4 linked regions of the Drosophila melanogaster genome follow. The gene in region 3 interacts genetically with the main gene of each other region. Each region holds a gene or a part of one and is shown on either strand. Other genes may lie near its edges.

Region 1 (7,116 bases), on a different chromosome or scaffold from region 3:
TTCAATTGAGTATTCAACTTAAGTTCTAATGTCGGATTCGCCCCATGAGGAGCACCGCTTGTGCGGTCTGGGGAATCACACGCTGAGGTCCCCGTACCGCGTAATCAGAAATCCGCACCTGCTGAAGTTTGGCCAGCTGATAAACTCGGAGCTGCGGTCTCAGCCACTGTGCCTCTCGTGCTACACGCAACTGATCCAGCTCTACCGGCTGAAGAACAACAATGCGAAGAGACACCTGGCAAATAGACAGGCAGCCAGTGCTATTCTCTCGAGGAGCAGTAGTGAGAAATCTCATGAGTCCGCGGCTAGTGTGTCCACAACACAATCCTCGGAGGAGCAAGAATCAACCACTAGCGCAGCGCCGGCGGCGGCGGCTCAAAGAGCAGGAAGCCAGTTGGTTGAGTCCAATTCTTCCGACGATACACTTTTCTCCGATGACTACGATCCCAGCTCGAATCTGAGTTTGAATGCCGTGAATGGAACGCGGCTACCGAATGTCCAACCAATTCCGAAAAGGCGCCAGTTTGTGCATCTAAATCGTGAAGCTATGGCCATTTATCTGGCGGGAACTACTGGGGGATAATGTTTGTTTCATTTAGGATATTTTCATAAATTAAATTTGAAATAACACTGTTACCATCTATGTAACCATCTATCGATAGTTTCCGCCATGTTATTAGCAGCAGAAACAGCTGGCTGAGCACCAGGGCTGCATTATTGTTTGTTAGTTTTGCTGTTTGGTTTTTAACAAATTTCCTGGTTTTCCCTCAAAAACCCTCTCTTATATAAATAAATCAAGTGCAAAATGCTGAGTCCATAACAACACACGTAAGTTTGTTGGCAAGCAGTGAGTGATTTCTTCGAAAAGTGCAATTCCTGCAATCTGTTATGTTTTCACAATGACTTTTATTCGATCTTAATCTAAACAGTTTAAAGCTCAAATAAATGTAATCAATTAGCAAGTATTAGCAAATGTTAATAGGCGTTGTTGTTTCTCGACGTCGCTGCTGCTGCTGCTGTTGTTGTTGTTTTTGTTGTTGCTGGCGCTGGAACTGGTCATCGATGTCGATGAAATTGGCATCCTGCGTGTTATCCTTGGGCAGCGCTGCCGGCGTCGCTGCCGCGGCATAGTAGTTTAGGCCCACGCCCACCGCCACGCCCCCAGTGACGCCTCCGGGGGGCATGGTCGTGGCAGCCTGACCCATTATAGAGCTCATAAAACCATTGGCCACGACAAAGTTTCTGAAAAATTGATTACATCAATGTACAAAATAATTTCGAGCAACCCCCTCCGGCACAAAAAAAAAAAAAAAAAAAAAAAAAAAATATGGAAAAAAATGATATCGTCTAATTGGGTCTGTGTGCGCATAAATGTCGTAAAATTAATTTCGTGTTAATTTCATGTTGGCCATCAATTAAACTAGTGACATTTCACTAAATTACTTCCGTTTCGAAAATGCAGGTATAAATACCCAGTTAAAATCCTCTTCACGAGCTATTCATCAACCATTAATTTATGTTCATTTAATATTATTTAACTCAATCAAAATCGATGATATCTTTGTACATATGAAACAGAAAAAACGATTCAAATTAGCTAAAGGGGAAACCCACCTGTAGTGCTGATCGATCTGAGCCTTTTCAATGCGTTTGTCCTTGGCCCTGCGATTCTGGAACCAGATCTTGATTTGCGTTTCGGTCAGGCGCAGCGTTTCGGCCAGCTCGAAGCGACGACTCCTGGAGATGTACTCGTTCCGATGGAACTCCACCTCCAGGCGAAGCGTCTGCTCTGTGCTGAAAGTGGTCCTCTGGCGGCGTTGTCTTCCCTCCTTGCGTCGCCTGCGAGCCACTGAAAGTCAAATACATTGATATCCTTACAATTAATACGTGTATAATATCTAGTTGGAATCAGCTTATTAGTTATGTAAACCCCGCACCATTCAGTGTGTACAATAACGACATCCGTCGGATAGCATCATTTTTTCACAGCCCACCCACTTTCGTTTATGTCCAACACAATGGAGATGTTAGAGCGAAATTAATCTTACATTAACAAACCATCAAGTTATGAGCGGGACTAAACGTTTTCGAATGTGGTTGCGTGTCGCTGCGTCAGTTAAACAAATAATTAACCACTCCGATCCGTGGTCCATCCGTCGTCCTCCCTCTCTTGCTCTCTCCGCCCGCCCACCTGCCAGAATTCGTCGTCGGTCGCGTTTGTGGTGCACATTAAAAGTGCATTTACCACGTAGTTTCTGTTCTCTATGTTTTTTTTTTTACCACGCTTTTCATTTCGGCAATCTATGCTGATCCGGGAAAGTTATAACAATGCCAACAGCTGGCTGGCCATCATCATCATCATCATCCTCGTCGAAATTCTCGGCATCATCCGCTCTTTCGAGTTTTCCATTCTGTCGTTTGATTGTTTGCATTCGCAGTGTCGCCGACGATGAAGCTCAACCAAGCGCACATTATGCCCCACTTCATCCTGCAACAACGAGCACCTGCCACCCAGGAACACCCACCACAAACACCCACACCATGGTGAATGTTGCGGTTTAGAGTCTAATTGATGTAACAAGGCGAAGCTGACAAGTTGCTCGGTGGTGTTAGGATGGTGGGGGGGGGGGAGGGGGGGTTTCCCCGGGAAGGGGTTGCTTTGTGGGCGTTGTAATCTCTAGCTTTTGCTTGATTACCCCTAGTCCGGATGGCTCTGGAGGGGCTTAAGCTCTTCCCTGATCCTTGCCGAAGGTTTTTTTTTTTTTTTAAATCACGTGTGTAATTCGATAGCCAAGTGTCCTTTCGGACGGTTTGTTGTGGCTAAAAATGAGTCTTCCTCGCTTAACCCTCCTCGCTTGCTGTTTGTGTTTGCTTTTTTAGGTTTCCTGCCGAGCTCAATTACAATGCTAATTTTTTCAGACACTTGTTATTTTTTTGAGATTGACCAAAAGTTTGGCTTGTAAGTTAGTTAATTTAAAGATCAAGTACTTATAGTAACTACCAAGCTGGTTTAGCATTAAATATATCAACTGTTCTGAATCTAAAAAATGCTTGCATATGTAGAATACGTTTCTGCTCGTAGAAAAGGTTTCAAAGTGTCTTTAACTTTGATTTCTTGCTTACGAATGGCTAACCCATTCACCCTTAACCTGCGATCATTTTCATTAGCCGACGCATTTCCATGTTTCAATATCCCCTCAACCTCATCTCCGCACCTGGCCACCTTGGCCACCTCATCAGGAGCAAACGAAAAAGCCGCAAGTAAACGAAAACTTTCACGGCTCAATGCGTTTTAATTTTTTCTTGGCATTCGGTTATTTTTTTTCCTTGGCTAATTTCTTTGCATTTGGGGGTCAGCAGCAGCAGCAGCAGCAGCAGCTCATTGTGTGGCATTGCTTGGTTGCCCCACCTTAGTTTCGTTTATTTTTTTCCAACTGATTTTACATAATCCTGGCCAGCGCACTCGGTGCGAAGATGTGGGGGATATTCAATATTGCAGCACTGACGATTAATCAGTTTTTTTTTGCGTATCCGACTTTTTTTTTTTGCAGTTCCTGCGGAACCAAGTTCATCTGGGCTGCACCTGCGCAGGCGTGTGAAATGCTCATCACTTCCTCTGGGCCTTTTCAATCGTAACTTTCGAACTCTTTCGGGGATCGGGCGGAAATGTTGGCTCCCCTGGGCTTCAGCTGTCCGCGATGCTTGCTCCTGCGACGTGGCGCCGAGCGTTGGGCCTCACTGGCCCGCCAATTGTCGGGCAGCAGCTCCCAGGATGATGCCAGCAGCAAGGATGCGGCCGCCCAGGAGGCAGCAAGTGGCTGTCCGCCCAATAGCACAACGACGGGCACTGACACTCCCAAAGCCAAAGATAAAACCACCAAGGGAAGGAAGCGGCTCAGAAACATAGAGGTAATGTTGTAAGCTAGTTGTTATCATTGCTATTATAGGTTAAATATCAGTTGGTAAGATTGTAGTTCATTAGAAAGAAAGGATCATCGATCTAGTATTGTAACACAAAACTTAGTGTAGTTCTATGAACTTCTAAAACTATTGAGCAGTATTATCGAAGGATCCAATTGTTATCACAATACTGAAATAACTTTCTATCCTAAGAGGAAAGTGGCTCAAGAGATTGCATATTATATAATCGTTTGCAGATACCTCCCGAGCCCACCACCTGCTGCATGTCGGGCTGCGCCAACTGCGTTTGGCTGGACTACGCACAGACGCTGGCCAAGCTGCTGGGCGACAACGATGAGGAGGCGCGAGAGATTGTGCTGAGCAAGATCACCGACCCGAACCTGAAGATGTTCCTCAGCCTGGAGCTGCGCCAGATGGCTAAGCAGCGGGAGGAGAAGGCGGCGGCGGAGAAAGCAGCGAAGCAGGGAAAGCCAAAGAAATCCTCGCCCCCGCCGTAGTACAAATCCCCGCTCACCTAAATATCTAGTTAGGACCAAATTCGTAGTAGCTCAAATTTACTCTTGTACTTAGTGTGTAAGAACTAAGAAACCTCAAAATAAACATGTAAGAGTTAAGGTTCTGAAGAAGTTATTTTCGTAGTTCTAAAGATTCTGCATAGCTTTGCAAATATTCTACACATTGTTAGAAACCATTCTTTTTTAAATGTAAGTACTCACGAAATGCGGAAAAGCCGGCGCTGAAGTGCGGGTCACTTGGGAAGCCGGCTGGGAATGCGTGTGGCAGGACAGGATTCGCAGCTCCACCGGCGGCAATTGCTGGCGGCGGGCTCACGTAGCTGAGTTTCTGGTGCACCAGCTGCGGCGGATGATGGTGATGATGATGATGCTGCTGGTGCTGCTGGCTAGGATGCTGCGGATAGTCCTTGGCGTGACCATAGAAATCGTAGGCGGGATATGCGGCTAGCGAGGTGCGTTCATCGCTGATGGAAATGTCTGGCGAGGAGACGCTTCCTCCATCGCTGTGATAGGGCGTGTCACAGGGCGGCGGCTTGTGGGCGTGTGTTCCGACGTCGATTTCCCCATTTTCCGAGGAGCGCGTTTCCAAATGCCCGTACAGACGTTCGAAAAACTGTCGCGGCGACGAGGGACGTTGCGGCACGGATAGAATCGTAGTGTTCGCTATGGGATCTAAGCTGTCACTCCTTTTGATGCCCGGCGAGCCGTCGGGTGAGCCAATCTCAACTTTGTGACGTTGCATTTCGTTTGAGGATGTGCCGCGTTAGCTGTCCAAACTAATCACTTGGGTAATCGGCGAGCGACTGAAGTGCCACAAATAATTCTACTTCCGCTGGTCAAGCGACGCTTATCCTGACGTCGACGTCGGCAGAGGAACTGGGTGAAAAAAAAAAACAAAGCAAATTACGCGGCACATCAGAAAATTAACAGCAGCAGCGGGGGCGCCTAAAATGCTGCTTACTAATAATAATAATAAAAAAAAAGGACCCCCTTCCCACTAAACACCTGAAGTGTGGCCTGAAACCCGGTTTGATTGGCTGAAGTGCCGTGCAATTAACCCCTAATTTTACTTCCGGCCAAAGTTTCACTTAAGGGTGGCAAGCAGTGTGCCTAAATAAGCTCCGCCCACTCTTAAGCAAGCAGTACTCACGTCTTCATACAAGCAGTGTGTGCGTACAGTCCCTGGTTTAGCCAAGTTTCTTACCTCGCCAGTGCTTTGCGAGGACAACAACCTTAAGAGCGAGATCCCTAGAGGTGGGCAATCAGCATTTGCTTCTTCAATGTATTTCATGCATTTTTCAAACTACCATAAACGGTCCGTCTAAATGGCAAAAAGTCTATATAAGCAACCGAATCGCGCCACTATCTGTAATTTTACATAGCGCGCGCGAGGGATCGAATCAAATCGAATCGAGTCGAGTCGAGTTCGTGGATTATATCAGCATGGATAATGTGTTCCCAAAACTTCGGTGCGTAAACGTGTGCTGTTTTGGGAAAGAAGTATCGATGAAGTGATAGTGATCGAAAGAACGAAAACAAAAACAAACGATTACGGTTATGTTGCCAATCCGTCTGCGCTGCGCAACCGATTTGCACGTACCGTTAGTTCGCGCAGCTGTCGCAGCCACCGAAAGTGCCAATAAAGAATAATAACAATAAACAAAGACCAACAAGTGGTGACGAAAATAAGAAAAAAAAAGGTACATCCCTTCGATTTTGGCCAATTTCGATTTTGTTTATCGAATTCCCATATCCCCTCAAACACCACAAAATGGGAGCAGTGCAAAACAAATAAAACCAGAAAAATTGCAGCGACTTTTGTTTGTTGTTTTCTGTCCGGATATTAATTGAATGGCTTTTATTTGGCCCCGGCGTGCATTTGTGTTTGTTTCTCTGACGGCTCTGAGCTGCGTTTGAGCAATGCAAAAATATTTTGTTAAAACTCGTTTCGTTTCGTTTAGAGCTTATTTGGCTTAAGCCCGCGAGTGTGTGTTTTTCAGTCGCCGACTTTTTTCCATCCATCAATTTCGGTTTTTTGTTACACTGACATATGCAAATTTTTTGAACATTTTTCGTGCGTTTTATTTTTTTGAGCTCAATTTATAAATACCTTCTGGTTGCACAGAAAAATGAAATTCAGACATGAACCTCGACTTAAAAAGTAATCAAACTGGATTGGAATCAATTGCAAAACAATCATATTTAATGAATTACAAACAGTAACCTTAAATTTATACATCAATACATCACATCATTGTGCTGAAAGACCTTAAAATAAATTTGCAAATATTTAAGCATAGTGTTTTGAGTCTTTAGAATGTTTGTATATTTTTTGTCGTGTGTAGAGCCTCTTCGGCATTTCCTCCTCCAGGCGATGTTTAATAAAGCGAAACCCACATGTTGTTCATTCTGTTTTCCATCCAAAAACAAACGAAAAAAAACAATAACATCAGCCTTTTCATTTCCATTGACATTTATGAGCGGCGCTAAGGGTGCACGCTGCCTCTCGCTCGCACGCAGAACTTCCTGCCTCTGGCCATCCCGCTTGCACATGCAGAGGCGTGGGCGGAGGCATTCGCGAGGGGCTTATTGTGGGATTTCTTTTGATTCCCTAATTCCCACCGCGGGATTTCTCGTGGGCTCGTTTTCATTATCCTGCGCATGCGCAGCATATTACGGG
Region 2 (5,088 bases), on a different chromosome or scaffold from region 3:
ATTTCAATGTCACTGGATATATGTATACGACTTCGGTAGCGGAACAGTTGCCGTTGTAAATATTTGTCCCGTGAACAACAGGATTTTTATGCTCGCCGAGTGTCCTTGGCCGTTTAGTCAATCGCCCGAAGGACCTTGGCCTTCGGTGTGTCACTGCGTTTGTGCTGCCGTGCGAGCAACTGTTAATTGTTCGCCAGTTTCTGGAAAGGCTGCGATACCTTTTGATTGCATATCAAATTCAAGGTAACATCTGAAATGGCTGCAACCATTTAGAATCCCCCGATGGGCGCGTGGCAGTTGCCAAATGCAATTTGGAATTGGTTTTCAAGTGAAACTCTAGCAGGCGAACAACTGGTTCGATAATACGATTTAACTTTACAGTACAGTAAAATCTGATTTTTAAAGATCTAAGTCGTTTTTGCGAAACACTAACCACTGACTAATAAATCAACAAATCGAAAGTCATTGTAACACTTGTGTGGGCGATACTAAACCCTTTAAATCAACTATATTAGTCGGTTGGCAGGCGTAATCTGTCTTCCCACAATTCTGATTATTAGTTTGTTGTTCAATAGCACCAAATCGTCCAAGGAAACTGGAAGTCCGCCATAAAAGCCCAATAGCTCGTTTATGGCGCTAATCAATAACAAGGCTATTTTTACACATCGACACTTAAAATTTCATTAAAGTAACACGAAGATAAGCTGGTGGGAAGCGTGCCGATTATATATATCAGCAACTTCAATGTCGGCCCTCTTAGGGGGTCTTGACTGTGCTAAGCCGACTTCTGGCCGCAACGCAACCACCCCACTAACTGCTGGCTAATTGGAAATGTTGTCGCATGGTGCTTGAATTGAACACTTGTTTTAGCTGTTTCGCACTTTGAAACTCAACCACCGCTCCCCCACCAACTGGGTGGTCATCCCACCGCCACCCACTCCACTTTCACTACCCCCGCCCCTTTTTTTTTATGGCGATAAGATACTGCTGTTCTTCGCCTTAGCTGGTATCTTAGCACACATTTTGTTCTGGCACCGATATAGCGCAACTAGCAACGTATAACGTATAACGTATAACTTGCACCTAAACTAATTTTCACATTTTATTTCACACATAAAAACCATCATATACCTCTTTTAGCATAAACCATAAAGTGGCAAGCATATAGTATTATGCCAAGCGAACCCAATTTCTTTCAGTGCCAGCATGTAGCTACACATGTTGGCAAATATAGGGTGACTATCTGGGGGGATAGTAACCGTGTATTGGCAAACGAACTACTTGGCTGCAGTCCGCTTATCAGACAATCGCCGGTGATAAGCGGCAAATGCTCGCGTGCCTCCACTTTTGGGGCGCGGACAGGGTGGGCGGTGGGCGGTGGGCGGTGGTTTTGGCTGAGTAAAACCTGATAAATACCGGGACTTGTAATCTCCCGCATTCGATACCCTGTTTGTTGTTCAGCGCGAAATCGAAAACGCATTTGCGAAGCGTACACACAATGTTGAGTAAACTATGTATTTGCAATGATGACCCGGGGATCGATTGGGCTCGAGGTTGTTGAACGCGTTCGCTCGGTTTGTTTGGATTTCGGGACGCTTTGCAGCTTTATGGCTTAGTTCGATGGAATTCAGGCGCTATCTACCGTTCAGCCGTCGAGTATCGGGCTTCCTGTTTTTTTGCACTTGCGAAACAAGTGCAGTGCGGCGATAAGATGCATAATTAATCATATAAATGGCCAATGCTCAAAACTAATACTATATTTCAGCCCAGTTTTATGGCAGCCATCGCCACCATAAAGTTGGTGAAATAGCCAATGCTCGATCAATGATTGGGCACTTTTCCGCCACGTAGCGTTTATCAATGGGAACCGAGTGGCACAATCTCGTGCCATCGGGCGATCGCTAGATACGGGCTATAAAACAGCGCGAGCGATAAGCGATCGCTAATTTGACAATTGAATTTACGGACCACGACGGGTGGCAAAATGTGAGTGCAGTGCGCAATAAGCACGGAATTAGCCTAGCCGCAAATCGGAACCCAGCTGTCTGATATAGAAGACGAATTCGGAACAATATCAGCAATAAAATCTCATCTAAATGGTGTGTTTGACCTCCATACCTCAGATTTAACAGGCATTTCATTGTGTTCCTATATCAAAGTAGGCTTACTTTTATCACAAAATAATACCTAGACCAAATATTAAGTGTACTATTAAAGCATTACAAGTTCCGTTTGGTAGAGTTATCTCACATTTTTTCCTAGAATTAGTCATTTATTTGGCGTAAGACTGGGTTTTCACTTCATTTGTGTTGCTAACAATACTAAATGTTAAGTAATTTCTGATTAATCGTGATTAATAAGTCAATATTTCGGTTTTTACAAATAATTTTTAAGTCACTTTGTCACAATGATTCCGATAAGCGAAACTTTCCCAATGATGTATTACAAATTTTGTTACTAGCTTACGGTGTTTGAGGGTTTTCCTTACCTTGCTCATCAAGCGATCCGCTCCGGTGCCTTCCTCGTCGCGGAAAAGGATGTCCCTGTTGTAGTTGGGCACGAGGTCCTTGAATTTGGGCGAGTCCCGACGGATCACACCCTCCAGAGGTCCGGAGGCGCTGTTCGTGTACTCGGATAGATTGGGAATTGTCTGCTTGAGGACCAGCGGATACAGGTTGCGCGCCCTATGACGACCCAATCCTCGGCCAGGACCGCAGCTGTGAGCCGGGCTAAAGACCATCGGCAAGACGATCAGCAGCAGGGCCACCAGAGAGGTCAGCCTGCTGAGGCAACGCTGCGTATGCGCAATGTGGCGCATCGTTTGCGTTTCTTCTTGCGGGATTGCGGAGATGGAGCTCGCTGCGGATTTGGAGCTGGAACTGGAACTGGAACTGTGGCATTTGGCATCCAGGGAGAGACAGGTGACACTGGCGGCACTGGCCCAAGGCACTGAGCTGTGGTTATCCATGATTTATCTAAGACTCGTTGTTTGCTGTTTCTCTTGATTGGATTTTGTATCTCCTTTAATTTTTTTTATTTATTTTTTTGGTTATTTAGCACTTCACTTTTGGCACACAGACACGCTTATTTGGCGACACGTTTGTTATTCAGATTTATGGTATTATTTGGATTTAAACTGGCTAAATCGAAATACTTGAGTCGGCGAAATCGCAGGTCCTAACTGACTTAACTACGGTCTTAACTGTTCTCCGCTGAACTGGCAGTTAGCTCTCGGTTCGGACAACCGTTGCGCTCGCACTGTGATTGACAAATGACATTTCCGAGCGGAGTATCGTGCGCGCAGAGTGTTCGAGTGCGAGTACGAGTACGGCAGCGAATACGAATGCGAGTATAAGTACGAGTACGACGAGGGTGCTTTCAAGAACCCTAGGCCTTTTAGCTCACACAAACACACACGCACACACACACTATCGCCTCGAGTTCATTCCGCGTTGTGATTGTATGCGTATGCCACTCGACGTTCGATCGGCTGTGGTGTTCATTTTTATGCTGCCTTATGCGCAAGGGAAGTGGAAGCGGGACAACCAGATGATGCAGCATACTCACAAGACTGGTTTGCATGTGTTAGTGCCTGAGTCTTCGGCTCTTATGTACAAGCAATGTTGGCAACAGATGTTGGATGGCATTGGCATAGTGTGCTGCGGTCCATTATGGCCATGGATGAAAGTGTGTGCCTGTTGCCAATTGGATGTGTGATAGTGTGCGTTGCTGGCGCAGAAGAGCTGCAGCATCCTCGACTGCAACTGCAATTTCTCTTAACACTTGCACTACTCGGACTCGACTCGACTCGAGTCTTGTGGCTTGTTAGCCGCTTCTGGCCCTGCAACTCCTCCATCGCAGGCCATTGTTCACTTTTTTCCGTTGCCTTTCTTCGTTTTGTTGTTCGTTTCGCTTTATTGCTTGTAAATTAATAATGTTCCGGTTTTTTGTGTATTGTGTGACTCCTGGGCAGCCTTATATATATACATACATATATATGTATATTGTATATGGTATGATATGTGGAGTACATATGGGTTCAATGCTGCTTCCGTTTGCCAGTCTTCAAGGAACGGAAAAAGTGCTTAAAACTAAAGTACTTTATGATCATCGAAGGCTCCGAGCTTATGTCACCCAGTGAGTCATTCATATGCCCCTCAGGTAGTGGTCATGTTCCGATTAGATATCGCCTTAGGACCTACAAATTACTGGTCAATTTAACAATTTCCTTCTCCGCCAGAGGTTCCGTTCAACGCCATGTCAATAATCGCAAATATGTCTATATATATTGCAAAAACCGATAACGATTTTGGCAAATACAATTTGCAATTAGGTACCTTATATTTATGCACAGCAAATAACTAAGTTGCGGATTGATGCCGCACTCTGGAAATCAATAAATTTCCAGTTTTATCTCTGTTGACTTTGGCTAATATAAAATTCCCCACAACTGGGAAATCTCCAATTTAACTTTTTAGCTTTTTCGCACTTTCAGAACTTGGATCTGTGGCAAGCGCTAATCTTTTGTTTTGGCTCTTTTTCCAGACCTTATTTATTTTTTTGCGGTTGCACCAGGTCTATTTGCACTGTCACTTGGCAAGCGCGAATTGTGGAATACGCCCGTCAATGTGTGCCCAAGAAATTGTCACTTTCCAACGGGGTAGAACCAAGGGCCAAGGTGCACCTGCTCATGTAACGGATTCCATGGGGGGGCATAGCATTTTTTTTTTTTTTGGTAACGCTCTGGAATGCAAGGCATAGCATAATAATTTCGACAAAAAACGAAATGAATCGAAGAAAAAAAATAAAACGAATCGAAAGAGGAGAAATACAATAGCTGGTCGTGGCGGCAAAAGATATAAGAGAAGGCAAAACGCCATCAACAAGATACACGGAACCAAATTAAAGATGAAGAAGCTGAAATGGAAGGGGGTATGGAATATACGAGTCTTGGATGCTGGGCCATCGGGCATTCGAGTGTGTGTGCGAGAGTCTATGTGGCTGCCACATAAATTTCTGCCTTCTTTGTGTGCGCACCGAACTCATTACGTTCGTCGCTGTGTGTATCTGTGTGAGTTTCGAATGTGT
Region 3 (3,603 bases):
GAAAACCATTTATTGACCACCTAGTTAGTTTACTATATACTATCTTACTTATTTCGTTGTGCATTCTATTCCAGACTTATTGAAGAGCAATTTCTCAGATTTCTGTGGACTCAAGCTATACACCATAGTTATAGTAAGCTAAGTTAACAATCTGTATTTAGTTTTATAAATACAAACATCAATGTGATATTTGCAATTGAAAACTGTTGTGTACGATACGTCTTTTGTCTTTCTGGATCCTCGACTTCATCCGTTTCAGATAGATACTCGCTCGGTCCACCCACAGTTCCCATAGCACTTACAAATGACTATGTTTAAATCAATTTTCGTCTAATCTTCGAAGGATCTAAGGTAGCGACTGTGTTTATCCTCAGTGTGTTTACCTGTTGACGTTTGCGGCATTTAATCACTTCTGTTTTGGAGTTCCATCACTTTGAGTCGGAAGCGGAACTCATTAATTCTCGGTTTGTTACTGATGTTATGACCTTTCGTTTTGGTTCGTGGGCGTGGCGCACTGCCTAGCTTGCCATGCCGCTCTCATCTTTCAAGGATAACAAGGATACCCTTTTTCGGGCTGAGATGAAAGCGTGGCGAATAAAAACAAATGTGGAGGCATCAGTTGGATTGATAAATGGAGTTTTTACATATATTTATGTAAATTAATAAGTCTGATAAGTTATTTACATTTCAGTACCTATAAACTTCCTATCTTTTTTTTAAATATTTATTGGATTTTTCCCTTTTTCTCTCTAAAAATATCTGCTCTAAATTCTGTATATGTACCAGCAAAAAATGCAAAGATACAATTCAAACAAAATATAAATTTCCAAGTTCGCACAACATTATTTTCATTCCAACTCCACCATTTCATACGATATGAATTTAAAACAATATAATTGATTTGTATTTTCATTTTTATTATAAAACTATTGCTTGAATTGTGTACAACTATGATAATAAACGTAAAACTAACAGCCTTTATAAGATTTCCACTAGGATATGAAGGTGTTGCTGCAACACAGCCCGCAAAAGGAACTTCCATTTGAGGAAGAAAGGATAAAGGATCGCCCACACTGGCTAGTAGTCTCTGGACAGCAACGTGACCAGATCCCCGATGTATGCTTGCGCCATTTGCAGAGTTTCGTATTTGGAGAGTCGCCGATCGTGGCCGAGTGATGGAACCACATCTCTCAACTTGTCGAAGGCATCGTTCAGGCTGTTCATCCGCCTCCGTTCCCGAGCATTGGCGGCCAGTCGCCGTTTTTTGAGGACTTCGCCACCGAATCCCGCGGACGATGAACTGCTCGAAGAGGCGGAGGATGTAGATGATGACATGGAAGTGGACAGCTTGTCGTATGGCTTGCTCCTCTGCTGCTTGTTCCAGTACCTTGGACTTCTGCCCTGATTCTTGCCCAAGGGATTCGCTTGAAGGTGGTGCTGCTGCTGCTCCTGGGCATTCAGCATGTGCTCCAATTCCAGGACAGACGGCGTATCGTAATACATCTCCAAGGAGCAACTGTTGGCGCCATCCGACTGGCTGTCGCTGGTGCTGAACTCCTGCTGGTACATGAGCTGCTCCAACTGCTGGAAGGTGTCGTTGCTCAGGAACTCGGGAATCGCTGGGGCTTCGTCGGGGAAGTAGAACTGCTCCATTAGCTCGTTGTTGGTCAACATGTTTACGTTTGCAGGCTCAAGGGACAACTGAAGTGGCTGCTTGAGGATGGGTCTTTATATAGCTGCCTGCCGAGGATTCAGCTCTCACGTGATTGGTTCACTACATATGTCCTGTTACCTGATTCGCTGCCTCAAGCTGATCCGATCCGCTCAGGTACCCGATTGCCAACCTCTTGAGGATCAGCAGCACAGCCCGTGCCCTAAATTGGCTTGCGGTCAAGACGTTTAATTGTCTCTGGCTGCAACTCTCTCCCTCTTTCTCCCAGGTATTTACTGTATCAGCTACAGGTCGACTCCTTTTGTTTGACCTGTCATTTGGCTACCGTCTGTAATCATACCTCTTTTGTTACTTGCCCTGGAATTGACTTTTTATATTCAAACAAAATTTAGCCAAGGTCAAAATGCGAACGCACAAAAGACTCTTGTCATATGGGAATATTTTCCACAATGTGTGCCTCCATCGAAGATCGCCATGGATCATCTTGGTTGCATGTCTGTGGTCTAGTGAGTGGAGTGCTCGACTGGTTGGATGCAAACCCCATTTTTCGGACAGAACAAAGAGCAACAATTGTGCTTGTGCGGTTTGTGACTTTCGATTTTAGGCGGTTGTACTTACTTTATTGGGTCAAATTTAAGTGGGTGTATTAATAGTGGCTTTCTCCTGCTTTCAATGGCCAAATTACAGGACGTCGAGAAGTTCGAAATTCAAAAAAGCATGAAGAAATCAAAGCAAGTATCACATTATTATTATTTATTATTATTTTCATATTAAGGGATTTGAAATGTGCTATATTAACGCCTTTACTGAAGAGTTACTTTTCCGATAATAAAACTACACTACTTTAACATGCTGAAACCATTCGATGGGTCCTTCGAAACTCTGGTGCAATATGTTGCACCCTCACATTATATACTTTCATTCGTATGCTCTGGTTTCCACAGTCATCTTGGGATCAAGCCCACTTTCAAGTGACCGCATCGAAAGGCTAATTAACTCCACAGACTCGCAGCATTAGAGGGAAAATCAATTCGAGGAGTTCGCTGAATTTCTAAGGAAACTGGGCAAAACAATTGGAAAACACTGGCCGAGAAGCGCCGAGCATGGCTAAAGAGTACAAATGATGCCACTGCAAGATGGCCCAGTTACTTCGCCCAAATTGTCAAGGAACAAAGTCCCGAGCCGACAAAGGATCCTGACGTTTGATCTTGACGATGATGATGATAGCTGATGGATCGATCGATCGCTCGATCGGTTCACTTTGTTAAGAGTGCCACGCGACCGCAGCTTAGTCGAAATCCTGGCCCAGATTAGGCATTATGCTGCAATATTTTCGGGAGAAAGGTTCGCGGATAACCTAAAGATCTGCAACGCCTTCGAAAAGAGGTTCTGGAATTTCCAATTAGCATTTTTCTGCGCTACCTGGGACCTCGATCCTGTCAAAATAGCAACAATAGGTAGTCGGTTGGTGGGCGGTTCTGGTTGAAAGTGGGAACCTCTCTCCGCACTCCATCCATATCCATGCCCGTTTGTTTCTTTTCTTCTGACCAACAATAGGTCACCTGATGATAATCTCGGATACGTCTGGCAGTTGCGTGTTTTTGGGTTTTCCCTGCCAGATTAATCGTTTTCGCTTTGCGGATTAGTTGTTGGCGCTAAATTGCGAAAATGAGATTAGAAGTCAGAGTCCCGGAGTCACCAGGAATTCCATGGGAATCTCTTCTCGCCCGACACTTGTTGATTCCACTCTTTGTATTGCAATGCCTGACAATGGATCTTTGTTTTTTGGTCCCATTGTTGGTCTGAAATGGATCAGACCTAACTTCATTGTCCTGAGCATAATTACCATGTAATAATCTGGAATTATGAATTATTATATACAAAGATTTGTTTGTTTCCAAGTAAATTCGTTGTGGTCACAGATGTGCAAA
Region 4 (3,594 bases), on a different chromosome or scaffold from region 3:
TTTTACTCTACATATATACAAATGTTTACCAGCTAAGAGATCTCAAGAACACAATATGAAAAGATACAAAATGAAAAACTTAAATACAAATCAAAATATGAAATGAAATTATACAAGAATCTTATTATTTGGGGAATCTATTTTACAGCACAATCCAATAGGGGATATTGAACTTCAGTATTTGTCTTTAAATTCCAATAGGAAGAAGATTCCATTGAAAATATTTAATGTTGGTATGCGCGAACTTTAAGGTCCAATATAATAAAACGATCGTGTGCACTAGCTTATTTAGGACACGTGTAAAAAAATGGACTTCCCATAAATTATGTTCATTATCTTAAAGCCCATCATTATCCTAAACGAGCTATATTAATAACAAGTTTCAATAACAGTTAAACATAATAGCAAAACATGCTCCACTAATGTGCACTTAGTTGTCAAGCATGCATTTAATAATAAAAAGGAATTTAATTTCATATTTTTAATGGTCGTTATTTTTCATTTGCACGATGTGTTTACTTATATTCTATTTCAGTAACTATTTTGTCAACAGACTATGAAATGAAAGTATTTGACATCCTTTAGCACAATACAATACATTGTTATAAACCTTAAATGCGGCATTATAATTTTTCCACCAATAAAAGGTCAATAAGAATGGTCAAGAAACATACAAATGAGTTTCAGCACGCGTCTCGATTACTTATCACACATTATACCCTATTATATTTAATCCCTTAAAATTTATTCTTTTACAATTAATCAATTAAATTACATCACATATTGAGGGTTGCAATAGCATTACGTAAAATCATAGGTAAGTGTATTCAATTCCAAATTCATACCACATTATTAACCTCTGACACCCAAAATACTATAAGAAGTGAGAGTATCCCTCCCCATTACAATAATCAATGACGTTGTTTTCCACCCATAAAATGTCAATATTAAGAACCCTCAAGATTTGTAAGGGAGATATACAAATCCATCTCAATTATTAAGTGAGGAAGTAGCATACCCTAGGCGGTTGCAAGGGAGGGACACAAATCCCATAGGTAGGCATCGATGTCAGAGGTCGATTAGTTTCCTAATAGAAACAGAGTTTATAAAAGTTAACTCGAAAGTGAAATTTACTCAATGGAATTCTAATACACCATACTTGCATGCGAAACCCAAGATTCCGAAACCAAAAGCACTTAATATTAGCTAATTAAAAATGGGTTTAGAAAGATACGCCAGACATTATAAGTTCCTATTAACTAAATTCAAAGAAAACTTTTGTATCCTATGATTACTTTAACAATCTTATTAGGATGAGCCACACATTGAACAAACCACATTTACCATAAGACAAGATATTTGAAAAGTGCACATCAATTAACCGGTGAAAAATTACTAATTACCAATTAGGGGGTTGCAGGAAGTTAACTATGTGCATCCCATAGGTAGACATTCCGGCACAAGGCCCACCTCACCTCAGCCTGGGCATTGAGTACTCAACCTCGGCCACGAGTGTGGCACGCGGGGCACACTTTCTGCGCCCGTTTGACCCACGTCCCCCTGCCAACCACCCAAAAACCCGAGATCAGACAGCCCAAACGATGGAACGATCGAACAACCAAGGCGACCCGGCACGAAGCCAATATGCCACATCCACTAATTGTGTCCAATAAACACTCGTCGACGGGGCACTGTGGGAACGGAAAGAGGAGATCTCAGAGTTCGCAGTTCGGAGGTCGGAGCAGGAGTAGGGGCTTATACAATCATCGTCTGCTGGCATTGATGAAACAATAAGCGAGTAGATGGCACGGCAGGATAACAATGCCAGAGCGGCCCACGCACAAGCAGTTCGGATCCCCTGCCCCTGCTCATCATGCTTCGATCCCATGTACCCATATATGAACGTTCCCATTCCAAACACGACAGGATGAGGCAGTGAAGTATGCATTAAGGATAATAACACCGGCCCAGAAAGCAATGCGAGCAGCCAAAAACAGCGACAGCTGCAAAAATGTGCCCTGATCCTTATACTCGAAAAAAAATGAGAAGCGGAGCGGAGCGAAGCATGTGGCCAAAAGGGAAAACAAACGAGAAAAAATTGTGTGAGAAACTTACTTTCAGCTCGGTTCCCACGCCACGAGCCACAAGGATTGTCCTCCGTCCTACGAAGTTGCAGCTGTTCCTTGTGAAAAAGACAACAACACCGGCGTTTAGCCGTGCGAGCGAAAGAGAGGGCAGGAAAGGTGCGTATCAGAGGGTGGATTTCAGGGACCAGGGAGCGGTATAAAAGGACGGGACCTCGCAGAGCAGAATATCACTCACGATTACGCCGTCGAGCAGGCAGCAACAAGCCGAATACAAAATTTTTCAAAAATTTTTAAAACTACGTAACCTACTACCAAAACAAAAATGGAATACACCACCAAGACCCAGATCTACCAGAAGGTGAAGAAGCCAATGCTGGAGCGCCAGCGACGTGCCCGCATGAACAAGTGCCTGGACAACCTGAAAACACTTGTCGCCGAGCTACGAGGTGATGATGGCATCCTGCGCATGGACAAGGCCGAGATGCTCGAGTCAGCGGTGATCTTCATGCGCCAGCAAAAGACACCAAAGAAGGTGGCTCAGGAAGAACAATCCCTCCCCCTGGACAGCTTTAAGAATGGCTACATGAATGCCGTCAACGAGGTGTCACGTGTCATGGCCTCCACACCTGGCATGAGCGTCGACCTGGGCAAATCGGTGATGACTCACCTGGGACGCGTCTACAAGAACTTGCAGCAATTCCACGAAGCACAGTCCGCCGCCGACTTCATCCAGAACTCGATGGACTGCTCCTCAATGGACAAGGCTCCGCTCAGCCCCGCCTCCTCCGGATATCACAGCGACTGCGACAGCCCCGCCCCCTCGCCACAGCCCATGCAGCAGCCCTTGTGGCGCCCCTGGTAAAAACAAGGGGTTAAGTGGCAGGAAGGTAAGGGTGGAGTGGCAATGGGAATGGAAGAACCAACCAACAACGCATCTGTGATAGCCCAACTGTGATGGCAACAAAATAGCAAAATTAAAAAAGCAATTAGCAAAACAAATATAAACCAATTTAAACAAATATCAAAACAATTTACTTTATTGGGATGTTGGGAGGGGATCTAAGGGACCAATCCCTTAGTTGGTGGCAATTGGAATCCTTATTGGTAATTAAATTATTACCAATTAGGAAATATCAAATAATATATCTCTGCTCTGACAATGGAAATCTATTTTGGCAATGACCGAAGTGAAATCTATTTTATAATAATAAATATTTATTTATAAATATAAATAAATTATATTTATTTATTTATATCTATTTAATAATAAATTAAATATATTTCACTTAATTAAAATAAAAGTGTTTTAGAAAACTAGCACTGATAATTTTAAGTTTTTTGAATCGGTAATGTCCTTAACGGTTCACAAGATTGAAAATAGCAAATCAGACTGAATAATAATAAACTGAATAATTATTTATTCATTTTTAAAAAGCGCGCCAACTGCACCTGAAGAACATGTACAGATCTAAGTTACGTATTTATTGCGGAACTTTTTTCACTTTTT

The links.
Region 1: of amos (region 3) and ro, changing one suppresses a phenotype caused by changing the other (phenotypic suppression), as found in Drosophila melanogaster (2 studies listed by BioGRID).
Region 2: of amos (region 3) and hh, changing one suppresses a phenotype caused by changing the other (phenotypic suppression), as found in Drosophila melanogaster (2 studies listed by BioGRID).
Region 4: of amos (region 3) and E(spl)m8-HLH, changing one suppresses a phenotype caused by changing the other (phenotypic suppression), as found in Drosophila melanogaster (one study listed by BioGRID).

What each region holds. Positions count from the first base shown.
Region 1 is NT_033777.3:26,875,928-26,883,043, forward strand, and holds ro (rough), read right to left. Parts: upstream 5,245-7,116; 5' UTR 5,179-5,244; coding exon 4,638-5,178; intron 4,533-4,637; exon of another isoform or gene 4,419-4,532; coding exon of another isoform or gene 4,158-4,418; intron 3,910-4,157; coding exon of another isoform or gene 3,667-3,909; exon of another isoform or gene 3,552-3,666; intron 1,850-3,551; coding exon 1,615-1,849; intron 1,243-1,614; coding exon 966-1,242; 3' UTR 844-965; downstream 1-843. Other genes in the region: ms(3)K81 (male sterile (3) K81), read left to right, coding at 29-583; CG5500 (uncharacterized protein), read left to right, coding at 3,667-3,909, 4,158-4,418.
Region 2 is NT_033777.3:23,138,554-23,143,641, forward strand, and holds the start of hh (hedgehog), read right to left. Parts: upstream 3,354-5,088; 5' UTR 2,969-3,353; coding exon 2,489-2,968; intron 1-2,488.
Region 3 is NT_033779.5:18,595,233-18,598,835, forward strand, and holds amos (absent MD neurons and olfactory sensilla), read right to left. Parts: upstream 1,690-3,603; 5' UTR 1,675-1,689; coding exon 1,078-1,674; 3' UTR 904-1,077; downstream 1-903. Other genes in the region: CG15160 (uncharacterized protein), read left to right, coding at 75-142. UniProt on the Drosophila melanogaster protein: Transcription factor involved in early neurogenesis; sensillum basiconica formation and maybe sensillum trichodea development. Promotes multiple dendritic (MD) neuron formation. Required for olfactory sensilla; regulated by lozenge (lz).
Region 4 is NT_033777.3:26,037,915-26,041,508, forward strand, and holds E(spl)m8-HLH (enhancer of split m8, helix-loop-helix), read left to right. Parts: upstream 1-2,325; 5' UTR 2,326-2,409; coding exon 2,410-2,949; 3' UTR 2,950-3,094; downstream 3,095-3,594. UniProt on the Drosophila melanogaster protein: Participates in the control of cell fate choice by uncommitted neuroectodermal cells in the embryo. Transcriptional repressor. Binds DNA on N-box motifs: 5'-CACNAG-3'. Part of the Notch signaling pathway.